Ovis aries: one gene and its partners. The protein of the gene in region 2 purifies or fractionates together with the protein of the main gene of each other region. This does not show direct contact. Links are inferred from orthologs where the notes say so. Each region holds a gene or a part of one and is shown on either strand. Other genes may lie near its edges.

Region 1 (3,645 bases), on a different chromosome or scaffold from region 2:
TTTCTGGGTTATGCTCAGCAATGTCCATATTTGTTTTTCACAGTAACTTTATGAGATTGATAATATTTCATCCGAACTTTACTGATGGGGAAATTGATAACCAGAGAACTTATTTGATCATTACCAGAAAAGCTAATCGTACGTAGTGCAGGGACTCATATCTAGGGTCTGTCTTACTTCTAAACTGGTTTTTAACTTGTACTCCAGTACTTCCCAGTTTTCGTTCTGCCAGTATCATGGAAATCTCAGAATATTGAAATCGAGTCTATCTCACTGTGGTGAGCTGGCGCTGGGGAGTGGCAGAGTGAGAAGCGCAGGGAGAGCTGCCCACTAGCTGCTAGAGTCCTGGTGATCAGCTGAGAAGAGTGCAGTGAGGCACACAAGTCAGGAGCCTAGGATTCTAGATGTTTATTTAGTTTCCTTCTTTATAAAATAGATAAAGCAGGCCAGTTCAACACTCCCCATTTATTAGAATCTTAAGTATGGATATAGAGTTTTTAACTTATTTGCAAAATGCTTTCATAGGTGAATGCTTATTGATAGTAGATTTGAAAGCTGGAGAAGAATGTTAGCTATTCCTTTAAACCATTGTTTCTGTCTGTTGGCCTAGAGCACTGTTTGAAAATATCAAATGCGACCCATTAGTAACTCATAAAATCAATATACTGGGTCATGACCGGCATTAAGGAAAAAAAAAATAGAGTCTAGAAAATTTTAGAATACACTGCTTAACATAAGGATAGACGTTTTCATGAAACTACTGTTTCAATTATATATATATGTACTAGATTACATTGTCAAATATATATATTTTTATTGTATGTTGCAAGTTTGAAAAGTTTGAAAAACACTGTCCTGGAACTTCATAGAATTTATCTATTTTAATTTTACCAGGAGAGAAATTATAGTGATTTTAAGACAAATTTATCTTTAAAAGGAAATGACATCAACTAACAGAATGTATGTATGGTGTTTTCTTCTTTTTTGTAGCATTCTGAAAAGCATCTAATCCCAAACCAAAACCTTCCTGGCATGTATATAGCTAGCTACGCAGAATTAACTTTGAGGACTTTCCTGGTGGTCAAGACTCTGTATTTCCGCTGCAGGGGGCTTGGGTTTGATTCCTGGCTAGGGAACTAAGATCCCACATGCTGCTCCACATGGCCAAAAAAAAGGAATTAACTTTGACCTCAGCTCATTCATTTTCTCTGTATGTCAAAATTTGTAATATGTATGTACTGTTTCCCGCTGAATATTCAGAACAATTTTTTGCTCATTTCAGGAAGTTTCCCCTTTCTGGTTTTGAACAGTTTCTAGTTTAGAGTCCCGTGAAGTCTTATTTTTAGTCACTTCCATTTTGTTGGTTCCATAATACATTAGCTCTGGGAATGAGTAAGAGATTTGTTGTAACCTCTTTCTATAGCAGTGTGTAACTTTATCTCATTCTTTTTAATGCATATATAGTAGTCCACATAAGTTTATTGTAATTTACTTAAGAAGTTCAGCAGTTGTGTACATTTTGATTTTTTTCCAGTTTTTCGTTATAAGGCTACAGAAAACTTTACTGTCTCGTATGTTTGTGTTCTCATGAACACATCCTTAGGACATTGTGATTGAAAGTGAAATTTCTTTGAAGATGTGCACTTAAATTTTTAATGATATTGCCACATTGGCCTTCAAAAGATCATACAGGGAGTTCCCTGGCAGTCCAGTGCTTAGGACTCTGCACTTTCACTGCCAAGGGCGCAGGTTCAGTCCCTGGTTGGGAAACTTAAGATCCCACAAGCTACACAGCTCAGGTGCACCCTCCCCCCCCAAAAAAAAGGTTGTGCTAATTTATCACCACCTGCCACTGAGCCATCTGGGAAGCCCTGTATCTTTGCCAGTGCTGTACATTGTTAGAGTTTTACCTTTTTAACCTGGTAGGCTAGAGCAATCATAAAAGTCAAATAGAATTGTGTTTTAAAATTTGAGACTGAGCATGTTTTCATAGACTTATTGTTTCTTTGTCTCTGCAGTGCTGATTTTTGAGATTTCAAGTATAGGCAATATCAGTGAAGGTGACTTCAAAGTTTTGAAGAAATGGTGCTGTAAAAGTCAAGGGTCACTGTGGCTGTGATGATACCTGTGGCTATGATGACCTTCCCACTTTGACCCTTGTACTCTCTTAATTTCAGGTGATCATGGAGCTCAGCTTGGCCTCCATGGGGCTGGTGGTGATGGAATACATGATGACCCAACAGGTGGAGAGGAAGGAGAGAACAGTCCAGATCCCCAACCCCAAGCTGGTCGGAGGACCCGGCGGGAAGCATGCACTTGCCCCTACTGTAAAGATAGTGAAGGAAGGTAAGTTGATTCAGCCGGTCTCTTTAAGAGTGTAGGATGAAAAATTAGTAGATTAGGAGGGAAAAATAAGTGGTTTTTTTTGTTTTGTTTTGTTTTGTTTTAACTTTAAGACTTGGCAGGGTTACACAGGGATCAGAGATAGTATAGTGCATTTGGTTAGGCCGAATGTGGTCTTGATTCCAGCTCTGGTCCTTTCATCAACTCTTAGACCCTGGACCTTCAGAGATGCCTGCTTTCTGTTAGAGACAAGGAAGTCACATGGAGCCAAATGGTCAAATGAGTGTTACTTTATGTCTGTTTTGAGATGTTTGTTTTTACTCTTTAAAAAAATTCTGTTGGTGAGATGGTTTTAACAAGATAGCTTATAAAACAGCCTGGCAAAGAAACGGAAACATACCTACTGTAATGATTATTTTACAGTGACTGTGTGAAAATCATGAGTTTGTTTTTTTTTCTTCCTCAAAATAGATAAAACTACTTATTCTGGGTAGAAAATTCTTCAATCAAATAATCTAATATCACCTACAAAACAGACTTCTGATAGATTTTTGCATTAATGTGCTGGCTATACAATATTATCTCTGAAGAGTTCCAGGTTATTTCTCTTTTCTTCAAGTCACTGACTTTGAAAGAGAATAGAAAGTCATATAGGTTTCTAATTGCCTTTGAAAAAAGTCTGTTAAAGTTTTGCCCCATTAAAAATAAGCACAGGGGACTTCCCTGGTGATCCAGTGGTTAAGAATCTGCCTTGCAGTGCAGGGGACTCAGCTTGATTCCTGGTCAGGTAACTAAGGTCCCACGTGCTGCCAAGCAACTGTGCTTACACGCTACAACTAGAGAGTCCATGTGTCGCAGTGAAAGATCCTACATGCCGCAGCTAAAGACCTGACACAGCTGAGTAAATAAATAAATACTAAAATAATAATAATAATAATATGACAGAGTTTCCCTGGTGGCTCAGTGGTAAAGGATCTGCCTGCCAAGGCAGGAGACACAAGTTCAGTCCTTGATCTGGGTGGACCCCACATGCTGCAGAGCAGCTAAGCTTGGGTGCCACAGCTGTTGAGCCCCGTGCCCTGCAGTAAGAAAAGCCTCTGCACCTGGGGAGAAGCCCCTGCGCATTGCAGCTGGAGAACCTCCACACAGCATCGAAGGGCCAGCACAGCCAAAGTAAAGAAATTACGTTTTTTTTTTAAAAAAGAACTTAAGAAAAAAATAAGCACAAAAATAAGAAATGTACAAAAACAAAAAACAGTTTGAATTCTTTGTAGGTTACTCTATATTATGGAAAAAACCCGA
Region 2 (3,645 bases):
GGCAAAAAGGAATTCTTCGCCATCAAGGCTCTCAAGAAAGACGTGGTCTTGATCGATGACGACGTGGAGTGCACCATGGTGGAGAAGCGGGTGCTGGCGCTCGCCGGGGATCATCCGTTTCTCACCCACCTCTTCTGCACCTTCCAGACCAAGGTGCCTGGCCCACCCACTGTCAGTGCCCCTGGCCCACAGCCCTCCTCAGTTGCTCAGGTCAGGGTCGTATCTCCCGTTGAGACTCGCCAGAACAGGATCCCTTCTTCTTCCTCAGATCCCTGAAGGCAGGGCTGAGATCGCCCATCCTCAGATGTCTCAGGGCAGGGCCATTCTTCCCCCTGCAGGTCCCTCAGGGCAGAGTTGTTCCCTGCTTCCTGTTAGGGCCTGCCCCTGGTGATCCTGTCAGGGTGCCCCCCTTCGCTTTCTGTCCCCCTGGTCACCATCCTCTCGCCCCTGCAGGACCACCTGTTCTTTGTGATGGAGTTCCTCAATGGGGGCGACCTGATGTACCACATCCAGGACAAAGGCCGCTTCGAGCTCTCCCGTGCCACGTATGCGAGGCCCCATGAGGGGAAGAGCCCTCTGCCTGCCTGCCTTCCATTCCTTCTCTTCGCCCCCTGGAGAAGCTAGCCTGGGCTGGAGATGGGGTTGGAGAGACTTGGGGTGGCCTGGGCCATCCCCTGCCCAGTGTGGGAAGCCAGGGGTGGTGGGTGAGCTGTGGCTGGGAACCCAACCTGGTCATATGCCAGATCCTGTCCCCTCCTTGGGCCTCAGCCAGGTGGGTGATCTTATTCAATGCAGGACCCAGATGGGTGGCTCCTTAAACCTGCATGCATCGCTAAACTGTGTGTGTGCACATAGGCCTATCTGTATAAACACATAGACTCTTAAGACAGAGGATAGTCTCCTTTGGAGCTTTTTCCTTCTTAATTTTCTTTCCTGTCTTGGCTACCAGCCGCTACTTGCCTGACACTAGATGCACTTGATGAGGCCCAGGTTGTCTGTGAAGTTATGCACAGCATTTCCTGTCCCTGGGGGGACAGAAGAAGACCTAGGGAGAAGCAGGGGCTGCTCACAGAAATCTCAGGACACCGTATATGTGTATGTGTGTTGTCTCATCCAGGTTTTATGCAGCTGAGATAGTCTGTGGACTACAGTTTCTGCACCAGAAAGGGATCATTTACAGGTGCGGGGTTTGGGAGATGGGGGGGTGTTTAGGAGGGGAGGCCCCAACCACATCATATCCTCTGAAGTGCTCTGAATGGGGCCCAGTCCAGCTTTGGTCCCCTCTCTGCATGGAATTGGTCTTTTAGTTGGGTATTTGCCTAAACCACCTACTCCATTGCTAGAATTCCTTGTGGCCCCTTAGCTGAGGCTAGCACAGCTCCAGGGACTGGGAAATCCCCAGGCATACTCGATGCCAGTCAGGGAGCACAGCACTGACTGGTATGGTGTCTCTCTCCCTATGGTGTCTCCCTGTAAAGCCCCTCTAAAGCCCTATCCAAGCACTCTGAACTTCCACCCATAGGGACTGGTTTCATAAATTCTCACCCAACAAACAACAGTCCTGTCCTGCTGTTAATATGTATCCATGCCAAAGGAAGAGGCCGGGCTCTGTGCTGTTGTGGATGATGCCAGGGGATGTCATCAATTGGGAAACCAGTCCATGGGACAGTGTGTACTGAGTACTAGGGTCCAGACTTTAAAAGGTGGTGTACATGCTGTCCATGCCTAGACTCAGTCTAGGCAAGTAGGATGGTGTGTGTCAAACGCAGTAGCCAGCTTGCAGGAAGCACTTATATTTAGCACTTCTTTGCCCTCCTCTTCCTCATTCCCCCCTCCCTGCGGGGGAGTGCTAGACTGACAGTGGGGACATGGGAGGGAGCTGCCTGGAGGAGGGGAGTGGGCCCTAATAACTCCTTCTCCTGTCCTTTCCCCTCAGGGACCTCAAGCTGGACAATGTGTTGCTGGACCACAGCGGCCACATCAAGATTGCCGACTTCGGCATGTGCAAGGAGAACATGTCCGGGGACAAACAGGCCAGCACCTTCTGCGGCACCCCTGACTACATCGCCCCCGAGGTGAGTGGCACCCTCCCCGCCCCGGCCAACACCTTGCCTCCACAGGGTGGGCGTGACTTGTGATGTCTGGGCTGCCACTCGGGGGATGAGGAGATCCCGCCGGACTTGTGTTCCGGAGCCCCTTCAGCTCCCACACTTTGTCTGCTCCAGATCCTGCAGGGCCTAAAATACTCGTTCTCTGTGGACTGGTGGTCCTTCGGAGTCCTTCTCTACGAGATGCTCATTGGTCAGTCCCCCTTCCATGGTGATGATGAGGACGAGCTCTTCGAGTCCATCCGTTTGGACTCACCGTACTATCCTCGCTGGATCACCAGGGAGTCCAAGGACATCCTGGAGAAGGTGGGAGGCCCTGGGCGGAGCTGGCCTGGGGGGGCTGGCAGATACCAGGTCTCAGGAGTGCCAGAAGCCCCCTGTCTCAGGGATGGTGGCCTCGCTGATGCTCTGGTCCTCACCCACCCGGGGGAGTCACCCTCCTGCTGCGATCCCAGGACCTCCCGTCTGGGTTCCCTGCACTGAGTCAGTCTGGCATGGCAGTGACAAGATTGGGGTCAGGAGATAGACGGACCCTAGGCTAAACTCTGAGTCTGTCTCCTTATCTACAAAATGAAGCTAGGAGAGAACCTTTCTCACAGACTTCTGGGTAGGGGGAAACATAAATTTGTGATGCTCAGGCCTGTGCCAGGCAGACAGTAAACACTCAGTAAATGACCACTGCTTTTACTCACAAATCCCACCCTCTGAGAGTCCCAGCAGCCCCCATCCATGCAGACTCGGGAGAAGAGACAAGAGAGGATTCCTCCACCCCAGAGGCTCTGGGGTGTGATGCCGGGCTGAGCCAGACTGGCCCAGGTACCCCTGGGCCTGCTTGGGGGTTTTCTGAGGAACCCATTTCCTGTAGCCCTTGGGTGCTAACCAGGTTCCTTTGCTGGGTTGCAGCTGCTTGAACGGGATGTAAGCAAGAGGCTGGGAGTGACAGGGAACATCAAAATCCACCCCTTCTTCAAGACCATCAACTGGGTTCTGCTGGAGAAACGTGCAGTGGAGCCACCCTTCAAGCCCAGAGTGGTATGTAATCCTACTCCGGTGGGGCTGCCACTCCACATTGCCCCTACTGCCTTCCCGGGTGCGCTCCTCCTGCTTTGCCCTTCCTCCCTCCTGCCTCATTTCCATGCTCTCCTCCTCTCCCTTCTGACAAATCCGCTTTCCCAGCCCTTCTGGCAGGCTGAGTCACAGTCTCTACCTTTTGTGTTCTCATGGTCTCTTCTCAGTCAGTCAGTCATTCAACAAACATTTGGTAACAGTGGATCCAGCACCCTTTACCATGCATTCTCTTTTATTTATTTATTTATTTATGGCTACACTGAGTCTTCATTGCGTCATGCAGGCTTTCTCTAGTTGCAGCAACCCGGGGCTGCTCTTTGTTGTGGTGTGTGGGCTTTTCGTAGTGGTGGCTTCTCGCTGCGAAGCACAGGCTCCAGGCACACAGACTTCAGTAGCTGTGGTGCACGGGCTTGGTTGCTCTGAGGCATTGTGGAATCTTTCCAGACTAGGGATTGAACCCATGTCCCCT
Region 3 (4,316 bases), on a different chromosome or scaffold from region 2:
CATGATAGTGGAGTGGGTTCCTTTCTCCAGGGGGATCTTCCCGACAGAGGGATCGAACCCAGATCTCCTGCACTGCAGGCAGATTCTCGACCTCTGAGCCACCAGGGAAGCCCGCAGCTGAAGCAAGAGCGCCTCTGTTGTCTCCCTCCCGCCCTGGAGTTCTGAGCTGGCTCAGGGAAGGATCTGGACCTCCTGGGTGTGGGAAGGGAGTTTCAGACAACTGAAGGGCTCCTAAGGGGCAGCTGGGGTCTGGTGGACCCAAGAGAGACTTTCCCTGAGGAGCGGGATTCCTAGGTTCATCTCCATGGGGTGCACACGGGTGGTCAGTCAGGAGGCAGGTTCCTCTTCAAGGATATTAGACACTGAATCCTGTTCCCCTAAATGCACCCAGTGAAGTCCTAACCACCGGCACCTGGAGGTGGGTCTTTCCAGGGAATCAAGTTAGCATGAGGTCCTTAGGGTGGGCTCTAATCCATTATGGCTGGTGACCTCTGAAAATGGGGAATAAGGAGACAGATACTTGTCTAGGGAGGGTGCGATGTAGACCTGGAGACAGCCGTCTACACGCCTAGGAGAGAAGCCAGGAACACAAGTTTCCCTCAGGGCTCTCAGAGCATTCACTGCCTGCTGAGCCTGGATTTCAATTTCGAGGCTCCACTGTGAGAGTAAATGTGTGTTGCTGAGACCGGGTCTGTGGCTCTTTGTTATGGCGGCCCTGGGTCTCTAAGACAGATGCCAGGCCATGGCTGTGTTGGGCTGTGAGGGGCTGTGGTCTCAGGGGAGCTGGGCTAGGCTGTGAGAGTCAAGCGCTGTGGGGCTGGCCAGTGCCATTGAGACCCCTGGCGCGGTGACTGAGCACTGGGGGCCCGAGCAGGGCTCAGGAGACCCTGGTCAGAGGGGCCCAGACGGTCAGTAGGCTCCCTTCAGCCCCTTCTGAGGGACACATCCTGTGGGTAGGCACACAGGCCCGGCCCCTGCTGTGGATGAATTCTCCCTGCGGGAGAATCTCCAGCTCAGGGCCCCTGCAGGTCCTGTGACTTCCTGAGGGCAGGGCGGCTGCAGAAGCTTCTCTAGATGTGGAATGGGGTGCAGTCTGTTCCAGGGCCCTGGTCGGCTGCCCCCGAAGCTTCCTCAAACTATCGTCCCAAGTCTGGACTTTCCCCAGTCCCTCCCCGTTCTCCACCGATAGTGGCGGGGTACTGCCCAAGCTGGGCTCAGAGATCCCAAGGCAGCTTAGGGAGGAGGGGCCCTGAACCCTAGACCCTGAGTGTAAGGGACACGCCCTCCCCGCCCCGGCCCCTCAGACCTCTGGCTGCATGTCTTCCCCTCCTTCTGACCCCCCTCTCCTGGCTCTGTGTCTGCGACTATTTCTGTCTCAGTTTCTGTCTCAAATATAACCAACCCGACCCTGCCCCCTCCCCCAGCAGGACTCCACCCTCTCCACCCCTCCCTGGCCGGCTCTTAAGTGGCTGGGGCTCAGCCGGCAGCCAGGCAGTGCTCAGCTGGAGCTCCGGCTGCAGGATCTCAGTTGAGGGGCTCTGGGGAGCCTGGTGTGGGGGTGGGGAGACCTGCAGGCAGAGGACCCTCCAGGGTGGTGGGCAAACCTGCGTCACTGAAGCACTTTTCCTCCCACTCTTCTTGCACCAGATCCCAGCGGGAGGACCCTAATCCACCATGGGCTTCGCTAAGGTGAGTGACGACCAGAGCCCAGGGGAGAGTGGGCCTGTGATCTCAGTTCTTAGTTGCTGCCTGTCCTGGTTCCCACCGGCTCAGCCCCAGCCCTGCTGACTGCTCTGGGCACAGCAGCCTCTGTCCCACCCTCCCTGGGTGCTGGGGTGGCCACAGGGGAAAGTGAAGTGTGAGTCGCTCAGTGGTGACTCTTTGTGAACCCGGGAACTGCAGCCCACCAGGCTCCCCTGTCCATGGGCTTCTCCAGGCAGAGACACTGGAGTGGGTGCCATTTCCTTCCCAGTGGGGAAGCAGAGGGCCAAAACATGGGACCCGTGACATCAAAGCGCCCAGGCTCACAATGACCCAGATCGAATGCTCCGCTGTCATCAGCCTGAAATTCTGCATAATTGTTGACTAACACACTTCACTTTCCTGGTGCTCTGAGCCCTTTCCTTAGGTAGCAGGTCCTGGCTGTGGGGCTGGGGCTCCTGCTGGGAGGTCAGTTTGAGGGGCAGCTCAGTGTGGGGGCCTGTGTTGGGACCAAGGAAGGAGCAATGGCCCTTGGACTGAGTGTAGGAATGAGAGTCGTCATGCTCGTGGGGGAGCCGACGAGGAGCGTCTGCAGTGTCCGAGGAATCAGCCACCCTCGGGCTCTTCTCATGCTTATTCCTATTTATTGAATTTCTTCTGTCTCCGAGGGATCTTGGTTGCAGCGTGTGGGGTCTAGTTGGCTGGCCAGGATTTTCAGAGAAAAGCTGAAAGCATTTCTCTCAGGGCCTGGATCAACAGCTGAAGCCATGCTGAGCTCAGAATTTATTCTTATTTTTTGGGGAGCCCTCCGCCCTCTGTCCCACTCAGCTACCTAGTTCTGAGGGTGACCAGCTGCTCAGGGGCTCTGGGCCATGGCACACCGGTGTCTGGGTGTGGTTATCACGGGGTGAGCCAGGCTGAGCAGCCAGGCCCAGTGAGAGGAGGATGTGGGCAGCAGAGTGTCCCCACGGCCCCGCGAGGTGTTTCCTTGCCCAGTCGTGTGTGATGCTGGGCTGACATGATGGGCCCCCCGGACACAGGGTGTGCAGACGGGAGCCCTGCATGTACTGTGAGCCCCACTGACCTCGCAGGGCCAGGAGGGCCGCGGGGACAGCGCCAGATTCCCGCCCTTAGGTGGAGTCTCCCGAGGGGTCGGTGGGGTGCCTCCCACCTCCGAGATGGAGTCAAGTGCCTGGAGGGAAAGGGGCTGGGGGGCCGGGGCTCTGCAGGGTCAGAGGTCGGGAAGACTGGCCGCTGTCACCGTCAGCGCCTCAGACAGGAGAGGACAGCGCCAGTTCCTCCCTGGTCAGCTTTCAGCGGGACTATGGAGGGCTTGGCATCTGGGAACCAGGTGGACCGCCTATTCCAGGGCAAGAGTCCTCCTTGGTGGGGGGGGTGGTTCTGTAAAACAGGTCTCAGTGGTTACAAGACCAGAAACTGAGTTTCACTGTTACCTCCACAGGGAGTCCCATGTGACTAGACTTCTCTGAGGAGCATACTGGTAAGACGCTAATCCCGACGAATATCTGGGGCTCGGGAGGCCTGGGTTCTGCTGGGTGATGCGGAGAATGATCTGGCCCACTTGGGGCTCCGCAGGGAGAAGAACCGAGCTTCTTTTACTCAAGTCCACCTCTGTTCACAGCACAGCTGCGGGGATCACTTCTGTGATAAGATGGGAAATGAACCAGAAGAAGCACAGGTGGGTCAGTGTGCCCCACCCCCGACCCTCCCCAGTGTGAGGGAGGAGGGGTGGGTTCACAGTCACGGTGATGATGAGGGTCACAGCTCAGGGCCCAGTCCTTACACTGGACAAACGCACACCTGTGTGGCAGGTGAGTGTACAGGGAGGAGATATGGAAGCCCAGGGATGCTGAGGGCGGCGTCCAGACCACAGGGCAACGAGGGCAGGGCAGGGATGCCACAGCATGGTCTTCAGGTTGAGGGTTAGTTATTGGGGTGACTGGGCAGAGATGAGAACTAGCTGGGGCTCGGAATTCAGGGTGAAAGTGAGAGAGGGTGGGGGTGTTTTAAACAGAGTGTTTTTTTCCCACCAGATGGAGGCAGTCCTAGCAGAGTCGGAGGTGAGTTTGGACCTTGCCCCCTGCTAAGGGTAGTCCTCAGAGTTGGATCAGCCAGGGTATGGGGTCTGGGGCCCTGGCTCCCTTCAGACTCACCGGGATGGACGGGAGGCCACAGTTTGGACCAGACCTCAGAAGCGAGGCAGGAGTGCGGACTGCACACTTCCTCTCCCAGGAGAAACTCAACGAGGACTTCTATGAATTCCTGGAAGATAAAATTCAAGAGAACCTTCCCGTGAGTTGGAGCCACTGTCTCAGCACCTTCCTTCCCCTCCCCACTGGTTTCTCTTGTCCTGGGGCTGCTACGTGTGCTAGAGCTCCCTGGAGTGGGGGATGAAAAGGGCAGTCCCTAAAATCTCAGGCGGTGCAGCCTTGTGGGCATCAGCCTCCCCACTCAGGGCATGGTGGCCAGAGCCCTGGACTCAGCTTCCTGCTATGAGCCCCGTGGGCCTGCTGCTGGGTTCAGAGGCCAACCACCTGCAGGCAGGTACAACCAAGCACCAGGGTTCGTTCTTCGAGGGGAACCGAGGGGCCAGG

The links.
Region 1: the proteins of PRKCD (region 2) and SP1 purify together in Homo sapiens (affinity purification with western blotting; 3 studies listed by BioGRID, with this or other methods). This does not show direct contact. The link is inferred for Ovis aries from reciprocal best matches to the Homo sapiens genes PRKCD and SP1.
Region 3: the proteins of PRKCD (region 2) and IL32 purify together in Homo sapiens (affinity purification with western blotting; 4 studies listed by BioGRID and IntAct, with this or other methods). This does not show direct contact. The link is inferred for Ovis aries from reciprocal best matches to the Homo sapiens genes PRKCD and IL32.

What each region holds. Positions count from the first base shown.
Region 1 is NC_056056.1:133,097,693-133,101,337, reverse strand, and holds part of SP1 (transcription factor Sp1), read left to right. Parts: intron 1-2,177; coding exon 2,178-2,346; intron 2,347-3,645. UniProt on the Homo sapiens protein: Transcription factor that can activate or repress transcription in response to physiological and pathological stimuli.
Region 2 is NC_056072.1:47,848,412-47,852,056, reverse strand, and holds part of PRKCD (protein kinase C delta type), read left to right. Parts: coding exon 1-153; intron 154-453; coding exon 454-545; intron 546-1,117; coding exon 1,118-1,180; intron 1,181-1,936; coding exon 1,937-2,075; intron 2,076-2,225; coding exon 2,226-2,414; intron 2,415-3,011; coding exon 3,012-3,140; intron 3,141-3,645.
Region 3 is NC_056077.1:3,028,793-3,033,108, forward strand, and holds the start of IL32 (interleukin-32), read left to right. Parts: upstream 1-1,489; 5' UTR 1,490-1,674; coding exon 1,675-1,689; intron 1,690-3,163; exon of another isoform or gene 3,164-3,202; intron 3,203-3,297; exon of another isoform or gene 3,298-3,400; intron 3,401-3,755; exon of another isoform or gene 3,756-4,014; intron 4,015-4,316.